Daphnia pulex: one gene and its partner. The protein of the gene in region 1 binds, or shares a complex with, the protein of each later gene. Links are inferred from orthologs where the notes say so. Each region holds a gene or a part of one and is shown in the gene's direction. Other genes may lie near its edges.

Evidence for each region. Proteins that work in one complex are often made in the same cells at the same time.
Region 2: transcription initiation factor TFIID subunit 8-like (region 1) and transcription initiation factor TFIID subunit 13-like share a complex: the UniProt entries of both Homo sapiens proteins name them as parts of the TFIID basal transcription factor complex. The link is inferred for Daphnia pulex from reciprocal best matches to the Homo sapiens genes TAF8 and TAF13.

The regions. Positions count from the first base shown.
Region 1 is NC_060020.1:5,723,045-5,730,469, forward strand, and holds transcription initiation factor TFIID subunit 8-like, read left to right. Parts: upstream 1-2,941; 5' UTR 2,942-3,056; coding exon 3,057-3,103; intron 3,104-3,270; coding exon 3,271-3,374; intron 3,375-3,443; coding exon 3,444-3,499; intron 3,500-3,571; coding exon 3,572-3,802; intron 3,803-3,861; coding exon 3,862-4,012; intron 4,013-4,079; coding exon 4,080-4,369; 3' UTR 4,370-4,464; downstream 4,465-7,425. Other genes in the region: E3 ubiquitin-protein ligase TRAIP-like, read left to right, coding at 312-421, 484-969, 1,028-1,722, 1,780-1,823. UniProt on the Homo sapiens protein: The TFIID basal transcription factor complex plays a major role in the initiation of RNA polymerase II (Pol II)-dependent transcription.
Region 2 is NC_060026.1:12,375,224-12,383,298, forward strand, and holds transcription initiation factor TFIID subunit 13-like, read left to right. Parts: upstream 1-3,671; 5' UTR 3,672-3,806; intron 3,807-3,880; 5' UTR 3,881-4,664; coding exon 4,665-4,760; intron 4,761-4,914; coding exon 4,915-5,085; intron 5,086-5,158; exon of another isoform or gene 5,159-5,307; coding exon 5,308-5,484; 3' UTR 5,485-5,488; coding exon of another isoform or gene 5,489-5,543; 3' UTR 5,544-5,589; downstream 5,590-8,075. Other genes in the region: gastrula zinc finger protein XlCGF7.1-like, read left to right, coding at 1-88; beta carbonic anhydrase 1-like, read left to right, coding at 687-779, 844-928, 994-1,133, 1,198-1,437, 1,496-1,581, 1,643-1,766; mediator of RNA polymerase II transcription subunit 4-like, read right to left, coding at 2,113-2,414, 2,476-2,647, 2,707-2,826, 2,883-2,997, 3,291-3,358; cytochrome b5 reductase 4-like, read right to left, coding at 5,489-5,543, 5,620-5,790, 5,856-5,945, 6,022-6,076, 6,228-6,479, 6,555-7,292, 7,366-7,536. UniProt on the Homo sapiens protein: The TFIID basal transcription factor complex plays a major role in the initiation of RNA polymerase II (Pol II)-dependent transcription.

The DNA.
Region 1 (7,425 bases):
AACTCTTTGTCGATCTTCAACTTTCTGTGAGTCATGAGTAATTTAGGTAAGAATTTGGTTCAAACGTTTGTCCTTGGTGCTAATTTGTGAGGCTACTGATGGTCTCAGTGGTGTTGAAGGAGAAGTAAAGTTAAACTTTTCTACCTAAACATTTTGTGTTTATCTCAGACTACATAGTCTGTTATCCCACTTTGTTTATGTGTTAATTTGGAATAATTTCCTTGATGAGTGGTAAACTCATTTCTTTTACTCATGATTAATTATCTTTTCAGATTTGTAAAAGCTACTGGTTTAGTTTACAAAGCCACACAATGCGTGCCCAGTGTTCTGTCTGTCAGGAGCTCTTTGGTGACTCTGATGTCGTCATGGCTCCACAATGTGGTCACACATTTCACAACACTTGCATCACACAATGGCTTGGGTAACACCTTTAATACAGTTTTCTTGTTGATATCCTTAACATCTTTTTCCTTAAATGTACAGTACCAAGAAATCTTGTCCAACCTGTCGTCAAACCACGTCTAATGAAAAACTAGGCAGAATCTTCTTTGATATTGCTTTCTCTGTTGAAGTGGACTCTGCAGATCTTCAACAAAAGCTGGATGAAATGTCCCTGGAATTTCAAGTTGTACAAAGAGAACTGAGAGAAGTTAGGCAAGAGAATGTTACTCTAAAGAAAAAATCTAACAAGTACTGTAAAGAAAAAAAGGAAAGTGCAGAAAAAGTTCGTGAGTCGGAAACCGTCATAAGCAACCTCCAACAGAGAGTCGATTTCCTGAATAAGCAAGTTAAGTCTTTCGCCATCGTAGAAGAAGAGCTGCAGACTTGTAAAGGAAAGCTTAAACTGATGGAAAATGTTCAACAAATTGTGACTGCTACTCATGACGAAGTAAAAGAAATGCTGGAGCAATATGGTGATCACTCAGAAACGGCCAAATCCTTGAGCACGCAATGTGTGATTTTAAGCAGGTACTGAATAATATCAGCCAACATTCAAAGCTTTGTTTCAAAGTTTATTTTCCCATAGGGAGCTGAATACTAAAGTACAACTAAAGCAGAAAGCCGACGAAGAGTTAAGAAAATGTCGACGACTCCTAAGCACTTTCCGCCTTGAACTCCAGCAAACCAAGAAGGAATTGAAGGAGAAAGAAGAGCAATCCAGCTTGGCAGAAGAGGATATTAAAAGATATACTACAGAAAATGCAAAACTGCAAGAAAAGCTTAAGGCCCTTACGGAGTCGATCTCATCGCCGAGTGGTGATCCTCGCAACTCTGCGCTGTCTCGTCTAATCAATGAGAGTCCTGCGCCGACTAACCTTCGAATGTCTAATCTTCTCATGACAACGCCATCGTCACCTTCTACTCCATTAGTTCCGCTTAGAATGAAACCTTCGAACGTTCCTTCGTCTAGATTGATGTTGTCATCGCAAAATATTTCGAGCATGCAGCCCAAACTTAGCAATCCTGAACAAGAAGAAGCAGCTTCCAGTACTCAGCGAAAGGAGGCTCGCAAAGCTAGCAGTTCATCCGCATCCGTTGATGGTGAATCCCTGAAGTTTAAAAAAATGAAAGTCGATCCAGTACCGTCAACTAGTGGTTATTTCTATGATGGATTTGGAGGTCACGCAAAACCCGAAATTTACCCAAAAGGTGCCGGTTCCTCCAGTTCATCACTTTCAGGCACTAAAAAGAAGAGAGGACCAGTTACAATGAAAATTAAAGGTAAAAACTGTTAATCATTACTGAAATAGGATATTTAACGACGTTTTTTCTTTACAGGTAAAACGCAGACCACGACCTTAGATTACTTTTACTCTCAATAATATAAATTGAAGATGTTAATTTGCTGCTAATAGTCTATCCGTCAGATGTCCAATACAAATTATATTTTGTACAGATTGTCTTAAAATATATAACTGGCGTAATAAAAAACAAATTGGTCTTTTTTGTATCCTTGTAGATTTAAGTAATCTGCTGCATGAAGCCATGAACAACAATAGTCGGCTTTTTTTGGCAAAACAATTCTATAAGTCTTATGATTTAGTTATAAATTATATTACATTAATTATAAATTTAGGTAATAGATGAAAAGGTAGAATCAAGATTTGTATTTAGAACATTTTGTTTTACACAAAACTTAATCCTCGCGAATTTGAGAAACTACTTTTCGGCCTGGTCCTTGCGGTACTTGGCGACAATCAACTGCTTAGCAGTGCTCAGATTGCGTGCGCGCGATTTCTTCATGTTCCTCAAAAACTTGCGATCGACCTGCAAATGAGGAGAAACATTAAAACTTCAATCTCAACTAACATTGGTTAAACACATACATGGCACGAAAAGTTCACGTCAAGTAACTTAGAATGAAATTTATGGATTTCAGTGAACAGTAATCAATATGGGCTTGATTTTTAAAGCAACAAGGAACTACAAAGAACCTTCAAAAGTATACTAAATAACCAATTCTAGTCAATTTGACAAATGTTCCAAGTAACTAAAGAAACAAAAATCTTACTCCTTTGTTGGATGGGCACTTGTGAGCCTGGGATTTCTTGATGCCATTACGATGATGTTTACGGTCTGTAAATGAGGAAACGTTAAAACGTGTCTCCAAATATATAATTTATAAACTTACTCTGGTTGTGATTTGTGTGATTCTTGGATTTGGCCATTGTATATAGCTGGTGTGGCTAGATAATCCTGTTTAGAAAAATAGGAAGTTTACTATTTACGAACACGGAAAAACTCACAAATGTCGTCTATATAATGCTTTAATTAAACAGAACATTTTTGTAAAACTATATTATGGTAAAATCCAGATGAAAGACGATAAAAACTCACTAGGACGACGACGACTTACAAGTTCAGAACCAAATGAAAGAATTGACGGCGAGTGAATCTGACGAAGCTTTCAGGTGCCGCCGCTGCACCAATCCTAGCGACTGTTTAGCAACGACCAACGACTGTACTGCTAGTTTTGTTGCATTGTCAACAAAACCATTCAACAAATATTATAATTCAATAAAAAATCATTTCTTCTATAAACCACAACACCGAGAATGACTACTACTGTTTCAGAACCCATCATGTCTGGAGCAGCTTCTAGGTAAAACATTTAATATACGTGTGGTGAAAAACAACTTTTAAAAGACTAAAATACTGACAAGGATACTCAATCTTTTTTTTCCATGTTACAGTATTTGATGTCAGATTTAGACAGACCTTAATAATTAGGTGTTTTACACAAATGTAATTTATCTTAAATATTTGTAGAAGGAAACTGCTTCAGGCCAGTGTGAGTTGTTTGTGTAGTGAGGCAGGCTTCAGTGCAGTAGATGAATTGTCATTGGAGACCCTTACCGAGATGATGCAGAGCTGTAAGCATTTCTATCTATCAAAGTAATCATATTTGTTAAAAACCTTATTTATTTATTTTCTTTCTACAGTTCTGACTGAACTTGGTCATAGTAGCCGTCTTTACTGTGAATTATCTGCAAGAGTGGTATGGGTTATCTAAATTCTTCTCTGAGTTATAGGGTATAATCAGTAGTCAAGTTATATGTTTTAATTTTAGGAACCTGTTGTAGGAGATGTTGTTATGGCCTTGGTTTCAATGGGAATTAAGCACAACTCTTTGGAATCATATGCTCAAAGAGCAAGAAGGCTAGTTTTACCAACTCCTACTCAAGCTGTTGCAACCAAACAAATTGGAATTTTACAAACTGGTCAAAAGAGACCACATCCAAGTCATATCCCAGATCATTTGCCAGCATTTCCAGATTCACATGCATATGTTCAAACACCAGTATGTTGTTTTCCATATTTGTCATACATTATATTTTTTAATAATTATTGTTTTTTAAGACTCACAAACAACCTATTACGGACTACGAAACTATTCGAGAAAAGGCATCCTGTCAAAAGCGAGATGTGGAGAGAGCACTGACGCGCTTTGTCGCTAAAACAGGGGAAACGCAGAGTTTCTTTTTGGTCGAAGATTTGACGCATTATCCCCGTAAGTAGAGGACGAAAAAAATAGTAATGTATACCTTTTTCATTTAAATATATTCTTTGTGTCCTAGTTATTGCATGTAAGCCAATGGATAAACCGTTTTTGTCCGCCCTTCTCCCTCGCGATCAAACTTTTGAAGAAGACGAGGCAGCCGTCCACATGCAAAAGCAAGAAGAAGCAAATGCTGAAGCCATTAAAGCCGCCAAGTTGGATCAGGAGAAAGAGAACAATGAAATGATGGATAACCTTGGACCTAATGGCTCACTGATGGAAATGTCAAATTCAGAACCATTTATCATGGAAAATCCATTCATCAGACCAGTTAAAATGCCTTTTTCAAAGAAAAAGAGCTCCCCATAACCACAATCCATATTGTTAAATTTAGTTTATTTTTCGTACTATTTGTGTATCAGCTGTCATCTCATTTTTTCCATAAATGTGAATATGAATCTTGATCAAATGTGTCTTCAATTTCCTCTTCAATCTTGACCTTTTTCTTTGGCTTCCTTTGGGCCAGTCGTTTTTGCTTCTCAGCTTCAGATAGCATACTCAAGTCCAGAGGCAGCTGTTAATGGAAGTAAAACAAACATTACGTCCATACTTATTAAAAATAAAAATAAATTTGCCTTTATTATTGCGCGAGGTTCATTATAATGTACGGTTATTGTAGAACCGTCAGGTTGTACAAGCAAAGTTGGGTATGTTCTCACGTAGATAGATCGTCCAATACTACCGATTGACGCTCTATGAGCATTTAATTGCCTGGTCTGAATAACTAGAGGTATGGCCAATCTAAATATATTATAAAGTATTATAGTGAGTGCCTCCACGTGACCGATAAAGTTTTTATTACCTAAATTTCGTTAAATATCGTGACATTTTCACAAAGTTGTTGAGTACCACTTGCAGACGACTTTGTAAAATGGAAAAATAAGACACCTAGCGATAAGAAAATAAAGCTATATCCCGCACTTAAGTAGGGTAATTTTCAGTTTTTGGTTATTATATACAATGCTGTTACGGCATAAGGGGAATTGTTTAAAAATTTTAATCATTTTAAATGTAATAGGATAAATCTATTTGTATGCACTGTAATGAAGGAACAATTGAAATTAAATTAAATGATTGATTGAAGCTGAAATCGGAGCTTGTGGTTAGAAAATATCAAATTTTCAACTATTGAGATACGCGATAAACATATCTTTGCAGTTGTTGCGTTATACATGCAATATGCTCCTTCGTACGTTTGGTATGTTGTACAATTTATTAGACGTATTATTACATACAACCTGTCATTTACGATTCATCAAGCAAACAACAACTGCCACAAGTAAAAGAGGAGGGTTGATTGCCAACGTCGTAATTCGTAAACGAAAGTCTCGCGCGTCTTTTGGTCCTGGCAAACCGATCGGCCGGATGACGCAAATCGGAGAAGGTCGAACCAAGAACTTTTCTTGGTCACTAGTGGCCAACCACTTCATGCATAGCATAGTCCGGTTTAGCGCTTCTGGCCGTGGAGTTCACCTACTGACGCTCCAAGAATAAATTTCCACCTTCTTATCAATTTTAATATTCGTCAAGAGAAGCAATGAAAATCTAATTTGACAAAACCAATCACAAAGGTCTGCGTTTGTAAAGATGTTTGGGAAACTTGGTGATCTGGGTACTTCAAAGCACGTCAATTCGTGACGTCAATTCCAACAAATTTAAATGGGAAAAAGTCCTCATGCAGGACATAACATGGTTGCTTGAAATAATAGAAGCTGAAAAACAAAAAACAGTTTTATCTTAGAAGCCGACAGCTCAAACAAAGGCTGTCAAGGAACCATTTGATGCGAATGAAGGATTGACTGAAATTAAAATTCAGATGTCTCCTTTCTCACAGCAGTCTAAAACGCTAAACCAGGAACCCGGACTATAGCCAGCACGAGCGTAGAAAGTTGTACCTTTGCAACACATGCATTCGTCAGTCGTCACTGATGGATTATTGACAGGGGAATGACTCGGAGAATGATTCAATGATTCGCAAACGAGCCGGCAGCTGCCGGTTGCCACAGGTGATCTGTCAACCTGTCCAAAGTACTTGATTCGATTTGATTTTTTCTCTTTGCGGGGAATTAAATTGATGAAATCATACCTTTAGAGAAGAATAGTACGCACTGGGGAATATTCATGATTCATTGCAGCGTGGAGATGACGATTCGTCGCACTTCCTGATAGGGAACCTCATCTGTCCGTTTCGGATTTCATTCCAGCGGCTCACAACCGCAACACAACTGCCATTCGCATTAAGAGAAATCGTGAGCTGCAGCCAGATTTAAGGGTTATCTTCGGTCTCCCAATTTTCGCCTTTTATGTGCTAGTTGGTTTATCTCAGGCATTTCGTTTTTTTCTTCTTCTTTTCCTTGAAAATGATTTAGGTTAAACATCATGACGGTTCCTTGTTATTCAACTCGAGAATTGGCATCGTAATCAAACAGGGAATTGCACGCGAGTCCCAGCCCACGACCAACTGACAGCACACAAAGTAATGGCATATCTGCGAGCTTGTAATGTCGGCAAAAGGGAATCTAGCCACAAACAAACAAGAGGTAGTAGTATATGTATATTTGCCAAAAGGCGGTATATATATTTTGGCTCGTGACTTTTGTAGCTGCTGGTCCTGTGCACCAGCACGCAGGACTCTCCTCGAAATCTATCCATCACCAACCGGCTCTACGAACACGACGAGACTAGAATACTTGGCCGATTGACACGTAAGCGAAGGCCGGCCGTAATGTAGTGGGCGACCAGGACACTTGCTCAAATTGAAAAAAAAATAATAATAAAAGGAAAATCTACACACATAGCGAACGGTCTATGGCAATGAATTATTTAGGGAATTCGCGGAATTCTTCATGAGCTGCAGTACACAACGTGACGACTGGAACCTACACACACAATACACACGCTCCCAAGGTGATTGGGTGCGTCCCGTGAAAACGGCGCTTTTTTTTAAAGGACATCATTTGTTAATTGATCTTATTGACGGAGAGTCTCGAGTATCCAGGCTCACGACAGACTTGAAAGGCCATATCCAACATTGATATATACTCGAAGGTGAAATATTATCAGCTAATAAGGCCAGACAAAGGAGAGAGACTAGCACTCACTATGCGTGCTAGCCCGGAGCTGTGTGTGTACCAAAAGTCGGTTTTGAAAGATTAGCATCTTCTTGGACGAACGGACAGATGACGAGAGTTTGACGGCTCAGCACGCTGCACCCACGCCATTCATTTCACGAAAGCCCAGACCGAAACAAAAGAAAAGAAATGCCTTTTCTTTCTTTTGAGCATTAAAGGTTACACGAAAGCTCGTTTTCCTTCTTTCTTATTGACTTAGCTGTGAAGAGAGTTGATTCATATCTGATGGTGCCA
Region 2 (8,075 bases), on another chromosome or scaffold:
AGAGATGACTGAACACACAAAGAAAGAGCATCCAGCAGATTATGCAATACATGAAGTCTTTGGTCACGCCCTCGAAGAATTGAGCTAACCGCATCTCAAATGCTCAATTTTATGTTCAATAAATTAAATTATTGAAATTCTGTCGTGAAAATACAAAAGCAAACAAAACGTCACGTAGCCTGAACATGTTTGTTTTTTTAATTCAATAATTGATAAGGATACCGCTTACGGCTATTCCGTGTTCATACATACAAATAAAGATTCAAAACAAAACAAAAAAACGGCTTTTGTATGATATGACTGCCATCTATTATCAAATTCCTAAAAATAAGAATTCAATTAACGCAATATTAAATAATGAATAAAGGTGCCGCCGCAATTTACGCAATGAAATTTCACCGAAATAATAATTTTAAAAAACGAATCGCTGTGTTGCTGGCAGTACCGCGCAACCGATCTATTTTGATTTTGGCATGAAACATCAATCCTCAGCCGACGATAAAAACGTCTGCTTGCAGTCACATGGCAACGGAGTTACTTGTCTCTCTGGTTGTATCTAGTTGTTGAACTAACGTAAACACTCATCATAACAGGACCATTGGACCATCAAGAAATACACTCTTGCACCTTATTTATCGTCGCCCCAATCCCTTCGGTCGACATTCCAACGTGGACATAAAAAAAAAATGGACAAAATATTGAAAGGTATCCTTAAATACAGAAAAACGTATCGAACTGAAATGGTGGAACAGTTTAAACAAGTTGCTGATCGACCTGAGGTAAAAAGTTTTTTTTTCATTAGTTTTTTTTCATTCAAAACATAAAATAATCGTATATTTCTAGCCAAAAGCAGTGTTTTTTACCTGTATGGACAGCAGAATGCTTCCAACTCGATTTACACAAACAGATGTTGGTGATATGTTCATAGGTATGTTAAAACACAAGTATATATACTGCTTGCTTTTTTATATTCCTGGACATTGTAAATATAAGTTAGAAATGCTGGTAATCTGGTTCCTCACTCGAAGCTGTATGGAATTGATTCAGCTACCACTGAACCAGCAGCCCTGGAGCTGGGGTGCATTGTAAATAATGTGAAGCACATGGTTGTTTGTGGACACTCAGATTGCAAGGTCAGTCAACCATAAACTTGTTAAATGATAACATAAACATAATGACACACAACTTTTGTTTCAGGCTATGAACCTATTGTATAGTTTTAAAAAAGGAATTGAAACCAACATGAGAACTCTCGAGAGATCTCCACTTAAAGCTTGGCTTCATCGCCATGGTAGTATTTCTCTAACTAAATTTGAGAGGTTAGAAGTGCATGGTTTCCAACAGCCCTTGACTTTCCCAATGGAGGGACCATTCAGACAATTTGTTGCCTACATAGACCCTGACAATAAATTTAGTCTAACAGATAAGCTCTCACAGGTAGAATTATGCCAAGTTATGTAATGTCTACAAATCTAATTGGGTTATCTTTTTTCAGCTCAACACATTGCAACAACTACAGCATATTGCCAGTTATAGCTTCATTCAAAGTGCCATAAATTCGGGGCGAGTACACCTTCACGCGTATGTATCATGTATCAAACGTTTACTCGTAAGTGTTTAATGTTGAAATTTATGATACTAGGTTATGGTTCGACATCTATACCGGAGACATCTACGTCTTTAGCCGCAAGCAAAAACGGTTTGTGGAGATAAGCGAAGAGACATCCGATTATTTGCTCGATGAAATACGCGAATACTTTGTGTGACCTTAACCGACGTGCCTCGGGTTATTATGCTGAAGAATATATGGAAATCTAGGTATTTTTATAGAGATGACGCACATCTCCTGAATTTATATGGGGAGTTCGATTCTAAAGCTATTTTGTAAATAGTGAGAAGTTAACTATAAAATAAATTGTTGCATAACTTTATAATGGAAAAGAATTTGAACAATTCGAAAAAGGAATTGCACAAATATTTATCTATTTTACGAACCTTTGAATGAGGAAGGTTTTCAAAAAGAAATGCGAAAGTAGAATAGTATACAGGATGGTTACCAACAATATTAAGCAATCGCGCAGGATACAGAGTGTAAATTGTTAGCTCACGTGTTTACTGAGAATCGGAAGATGAACTGCTACTCGAGTCCGTAGACATAACGTCGACATCTTCATTCTCTTTCTTGGGATTTTTGTGATCCATTCCACCACTCACACCCAAGTGTGAAACTGACAAACAGGGCATTTGCAGGTCATTTTGAGATAACCAACTATAAGTGCCTGCTTGAGAATTCGGAACTGAAGACCCCTGCTGCAAAGAATGATTAGGACGATGCAAAAGTTCTGGAAAACTCATGTGTCCATTGACATTCATTTCACCAAGACGGCCCAAAAATCCTAGCCGCATTTCAATATCTGAAAACCACCACAAAACAACATGAAACTACTGGACAGCAATTTAAAAAAAAATTTCTACCCGTGGGATATGGTCTGCGTAAATCTCCTTGCTGCCAATTCAAAGGAGCACAAACAGCGTTGGAAGCCGATATTCTGTGAGCAAATTTTATCAACTCTTCGGAATTTACAGGTCTGTTATTCGCCCGTGTGATTGATTGCAACTTTTGCTTAGCTTGAAAGATTGCAGTAGCCTGAAAAAGAGTAAGTTTATGAAATACTAAAACCAACAAAATAATTAAAAATAGCTTACTAATAGCTGCTCTGCCTCCTTAAGCTGCTTTTGAAGATTTCGAATCTCAACATCATGCCTTTCAACTTCTGTCTCTAAGGCAACTACTTTTTGTTGTAATACACCTTGTTCTTCAGCCAACTTAATAAAAGAAAGAATTAGCATTGAAAAAAATTATGAAAAACAAATAATTTTACCTTAAGTGTTGCCTTAAGATCAGTGTCTTTTTGAAGAACCAATTCAACAAGTTGAGAGTGTTCAGTACTCATAGGTTTCTGCTGCTTCTGGGCTATTAAGTTGTCCAAAAGTTCCCTAATAAATTAAAAAGATTAAGTTTAGTACAGTGACAATTATATTTTGGAAGATTAAAATTCAATAATCAAATTCAAAACAGTGTATGATACAAACGAGTGTGACAAAGTGTTCTGAATTTCAGGTAAACAATGGTATGATTACCTAATAAGATAAATAAATATATCATGCTAATGAACAATAGATAGATCTGAGGCTTTAACTTTCATTAAAAAAATTTTGAAGGAAGAACAATTGCACTACGTGATCAAAATAGTCGACGAACAAAGGCAGCCAAATCAAGAAAAACTTACTTTGCGATGATTTCGATATCGTCGATGCAAGTAAGCAATACTTCTCTGGTACTTTTTTGAGAAGTCATGTCTAGTTATTTTTATTCCTTTTTATAGAAATAGTTATAAAAACAGGTAAGTGAAACTTTCCAATCAAAATTAGTTTTTCTTGAATGCGGCTCGGCTACGGCTGCAACAACAACTAGAGAAGTGAGGTTGCCATATCTAGATTTAACCTGACCACGTATTTTTTTAAATTTCCTTATCCTTTATTTATGGATTCATTCGGAGTCGAATCACCGCTCTACAACGTGATTTCGTTAAAAGAAACTAAAAAATATAATAGTAATGAGATATGTTTGAAGTGTATAATAATGCAACACTGGCGACGATTTATGAATCGAATTTCGTAAACATAAACAGACAGCAGGAATCCGCTGTTCCGCTCTTGATCGTCTGACCCGCCCAAAGTTTTCCGAGCAATTTCTCAAAAACAAACTCCGGAAAGAGTGAAAAGACATTCATTTGTTTGCTTGGGTGAGTATATAGTCCAGCAATTCGACTTTAGAATCTCCAGTTATGAGGACTTTAAAACACATTTTGTGTTACAGATTCTTGGTTCAGTTCCTGTCTACAAGAATGTCGAATGACAAGTCTGTCAAAGTTAAGGTTGGAGAAGAAGAACGAGTATCGCAAAGTTTATGCGGTTGTTCGGTCGGAAAATTTTGGAAATGGAAGTACAGTGTCCATAAACAATGAGCAGAAAAAACAACTAGGTATAGAAGGAGACTATCATGCCGGGCATATCATTGCCAAAATGCTTGGAGGATCGGGATCGGACGTAAATAATCTCGTCCCCATGCACAAAAATTTCAACAACAGTGCCTACAAATCTTTCGAATTTGAAGTCCGCAAGATGATTGAGGATTCTGAAAAATTTTACCCCGGAAAACAAGTAGAAGCTCGTATCACTGTTTCCTTATTTTACAATCAAGGTTCCAATAAACCATATCGAATCAAGTATGATGTTGCCATGTACGCTAACGGCGTAGAAAAGCCGAGTTACGTTGGAGATTTCAAACTGAATGAAAATGGACGACACTAATTTAAATCGAGGAAATTTTTGCTTTGACGCTTTTTGCAGAGCTATAACTCTGGCTTTTTGTAACCAATAAACATTTTTCAATGTTGAATGCGTAATCAGGCGCCGCGCAATGTATTTTTTTTACAAGAAAGCAGATTTTAGTACGTACAAGAGTGCTTTTACAGCCATCTGGCAACCGTTTTCGTTACTAACCTACCTAGTGTCTTCTGCAGTGGTTGATTTGTTGACGTTTATTGCTCGAAAATTCTCCAACCCACTAACATTTACTCGTTTAGTAATCAAATTTCAAAATGTCTTCTCCCTCGGTGAATACTTCATTGACTTCGTCCCCACAGAAAGAAAGAGACAGCAAAGAAAGAGAAAATCCAGATGAAAACTATGATCAGGTAATTTTCTTCTTTTAAGTTACATTAAATCTTAAGTAATTTCCAGCTGAAAGTTTTGCTGGTACATATAACATATTGCTGGTGGAAATTTTTGTATTTAAATTTGTTTTAATGCTTTACTGTTCATTTAATTTCTAAATGTTTCAATTTCTAGTTTGATGATGATGAACCTGATTTGCATTATGGATCCACTTCATCAGGCAGAAAGCGCCTCTTCAGCAAGGAACTTCGTTGCATGATGTTTGGATTTGGTGATGATCAAAATCCCTATACAGAAAGTGTTGATCTGCTGGAAGACCTTGTTATTGAATACATCACTGAAACGGTAGGACTAATACCTTAAAATTTTTTTCAAACTGTGACATCTGATTTGCTATCTTTGAATTTTATTTATCAAGTTAGAATGCAAAAATGTTTATTTTTGAAATCAAATGCAAATGTTTCATCGTGTTATGGCAATTCACAAAGAGTCGGCAACCTGATTAGAATTCTATAACATGGCAAATGACTTTATTGACATTAACTATTTGCATTATTACTACTTCAGACGCACAAGGCCATGGAAACTGGACGGACAGGCCGAGTTCAAGTTGAAGACATGGTGTTTTTAGTTCGCAAGGACACGCGTAAATTTGCCCGCGTCAAAGACCTTCTAACCATGAACGAGGAGCTGAAGAAAGCTCGTAAAGCTTTCGATGAAGTCAAATATGCAGGCGTTTCCTAATTTTCTATCCCGAAAACGCGTGAACGGCCTCATTTATGTATCCTGCAGCATCCAGCAACCTTTTTTAACAATAAATAAACTTTCGTCATTTTTTTCAATCCAAAATTTCGTGTGAATTTTCAAAGAATGTATCACCTGAGTGTTTCCAAAGTAAAGTCTGACGGTCCGCAAACACACGCAAAATTGGAACCGTCGTCAGGACAATCCCTACCTAAAATAGTTGTGGCTAGTATAGAATTGTTGATTCGGCCTCGAAGACCTAACCATTCTTCATCCGGCTCAGACAATACGTGCCATACTTTAAACCTGTTGAAAAATTGATATAGATGTTTCATTAATGTGAGGTTAGAATGAAATTTCGGTTTTTCTACTTCTCAGGATATTTAAGTTCTAATTCCCGAAACTCTTCTTTCCAGATTATGTCTTCTTGAGTTCGGTTGAAGAACAGTAACATAACACGCCTAAATTAATCAAAATTGGTATTCAAATGAGCTTAGTTCATAAGAGATTAATCGACAAAAACATCAAAAGGGGTACCTATTATTGCGTAAGGTATCGATTGTTATTCTGACTAATGGCGTGATCCCCGTACCTGGAATTTTAATTTATTAAAAAAAGAATGTAATTTACTTAAGATGTTTGCTATTGGTTAATATATCACGGGAGGGCAAATATGAATAAACAGAACAATGTCAACAAAGACAAGGCAACAATGGGGGTCGTCCAACAATGCTAATACGTACCAGCGGCGATAGCTACCACATTCTTGCTCTCTAATTGCGATTCTAGGAAGTTTCCAGTTGGATCACTCACTTCAATCGAGCTGTTACCCTCAGCCAATCGATCCAATGCCGAAGTAAATGGTCCAGCAGGGTAGATTTTGATTAGAAACTGAAGCGAACTAGACGCTTCAGTTTTAGATGGGCAGTCTGTTGTCTTGCACGAAGAAAGATCAGAAACAACAGGAGTGTAGCTACGGATTAATTCACTTCCATCTAATGATTAGAAACGTGAAAATAAAAAATAAAAATAAAAAACCCTTTTTCAAGATCACGCATATGTGCAATCACCTTCCAGAGATAGTTTGAGTTGAACATGCCAACCAACAGGGACGTAAAAGTCTTGACCAGTAGGAAACGTCAAAGTGAATAGAAAAACATTGTGATTAACGCGCAATTTGCGTGTTAAAGTGGCCTGGCGGAAGAATGGTGAGGCTTGGCTTAACGGCTGAAACCCTTGGCTGACGTCCTCCAAATCGCCCAATTTCTGCCAATGGAGTGCAGTTTGTATTTTGCGCAATACCAATTCCACTTTGCCCGTTGTCAACGATACTGTAACCTTACAGGAAGATTCGACAACTTCGGCTAAGTGAATTTGATAATCGTAACAGCGTGACCAATCGTCGCTGTAGATACGAATACGGAAAAGTTTCCCGTCGATAGACGTCGACACCCGGTGTGCGTCAAGTCCTTTTTGTCGCGTATAAAGGACGACAGTGACGCTGGTGGAGTTCTGCATCCAATCGGTGGTGACAACTCCAATAGAAGGCGTCGATATCGACAGAGTGGGCGGAGGAGGCGCAGGAAAGCCCTTTCCAACGATAACTTTGCTTTGTGCGCGTTTGACTGGAGGCAGCATGGAATCCGCCTTCAATCTTCCGACCAGGCATTTCTTCAGCATCGATTCGTAGTTTACCCATTTATGGACTTCATCGAACAAATCGGTAGCGTCAATCCCGACACCACGCAACAACTCTTCCTCGCCGCCAGGATGGAATTCGAAATAAGAAGTTACGTTGTACACCATTCCTTATTTTGAAGAAAATAAAATTATAATTGATTATTAGGAAGGAGAAAAAAGAAAAGCATTAAATAATAGAACCTCTAATGGCCAGCCAAGCGTCATTTTTGCTATTATGCTGAGCGAGTTCGTTAGGAGAGATATCCCTTAACCGATTTCCCGTTCCACTGAGATCAGTAGATGAGTTGGTGAGTTTGATCCAATCCATGAGGGAACGTCCTGGTTTGAGCGCAGTTTTGTTGCGCGGATTTCCTGTGTTAGCAGAAGTGGATAGATTAGACATGTTTCAGTCAAGGTGCAGTGGCTGCGCAGGCCGTGACAAGACTGGCTCAAGAGCTGCGGGATCACGTCCAAGTCATTCACGGCTGTAAGGCTGAAACGCGTGCACCACCATGAAAGACTTAAAAGACACGGGATGGCGAAAAGGGGACGGTCTAAATGAGAAGTAGGAGGGTACTGAATGGGCTGCGCAACTCTCGCTCGATCAATAGTTTCTTTAGCCTCGCTTGGTCAAATATAAAAAGCGAACTAGAATCAAATGATTGTCCATTGATGACTGCCGACCCGGTCGTGATCCTGTTATTTATTAGCCTCAGCCAATACTGTGGACTAGTAGAGTAAAGCGACTAAAAATAAACTAGTTCAATTTATTGGCTAATTTTGGTCTTAGCTTGAATTAACTAACTAAACTACTGATCAGCTCTTGGTAAATTCATTAAATTGAATCCTTTGTTCTCTTTCAACAAGAGATGTAATGCATCGGTTGCACAAGTCACTAAACAAAGACGCCA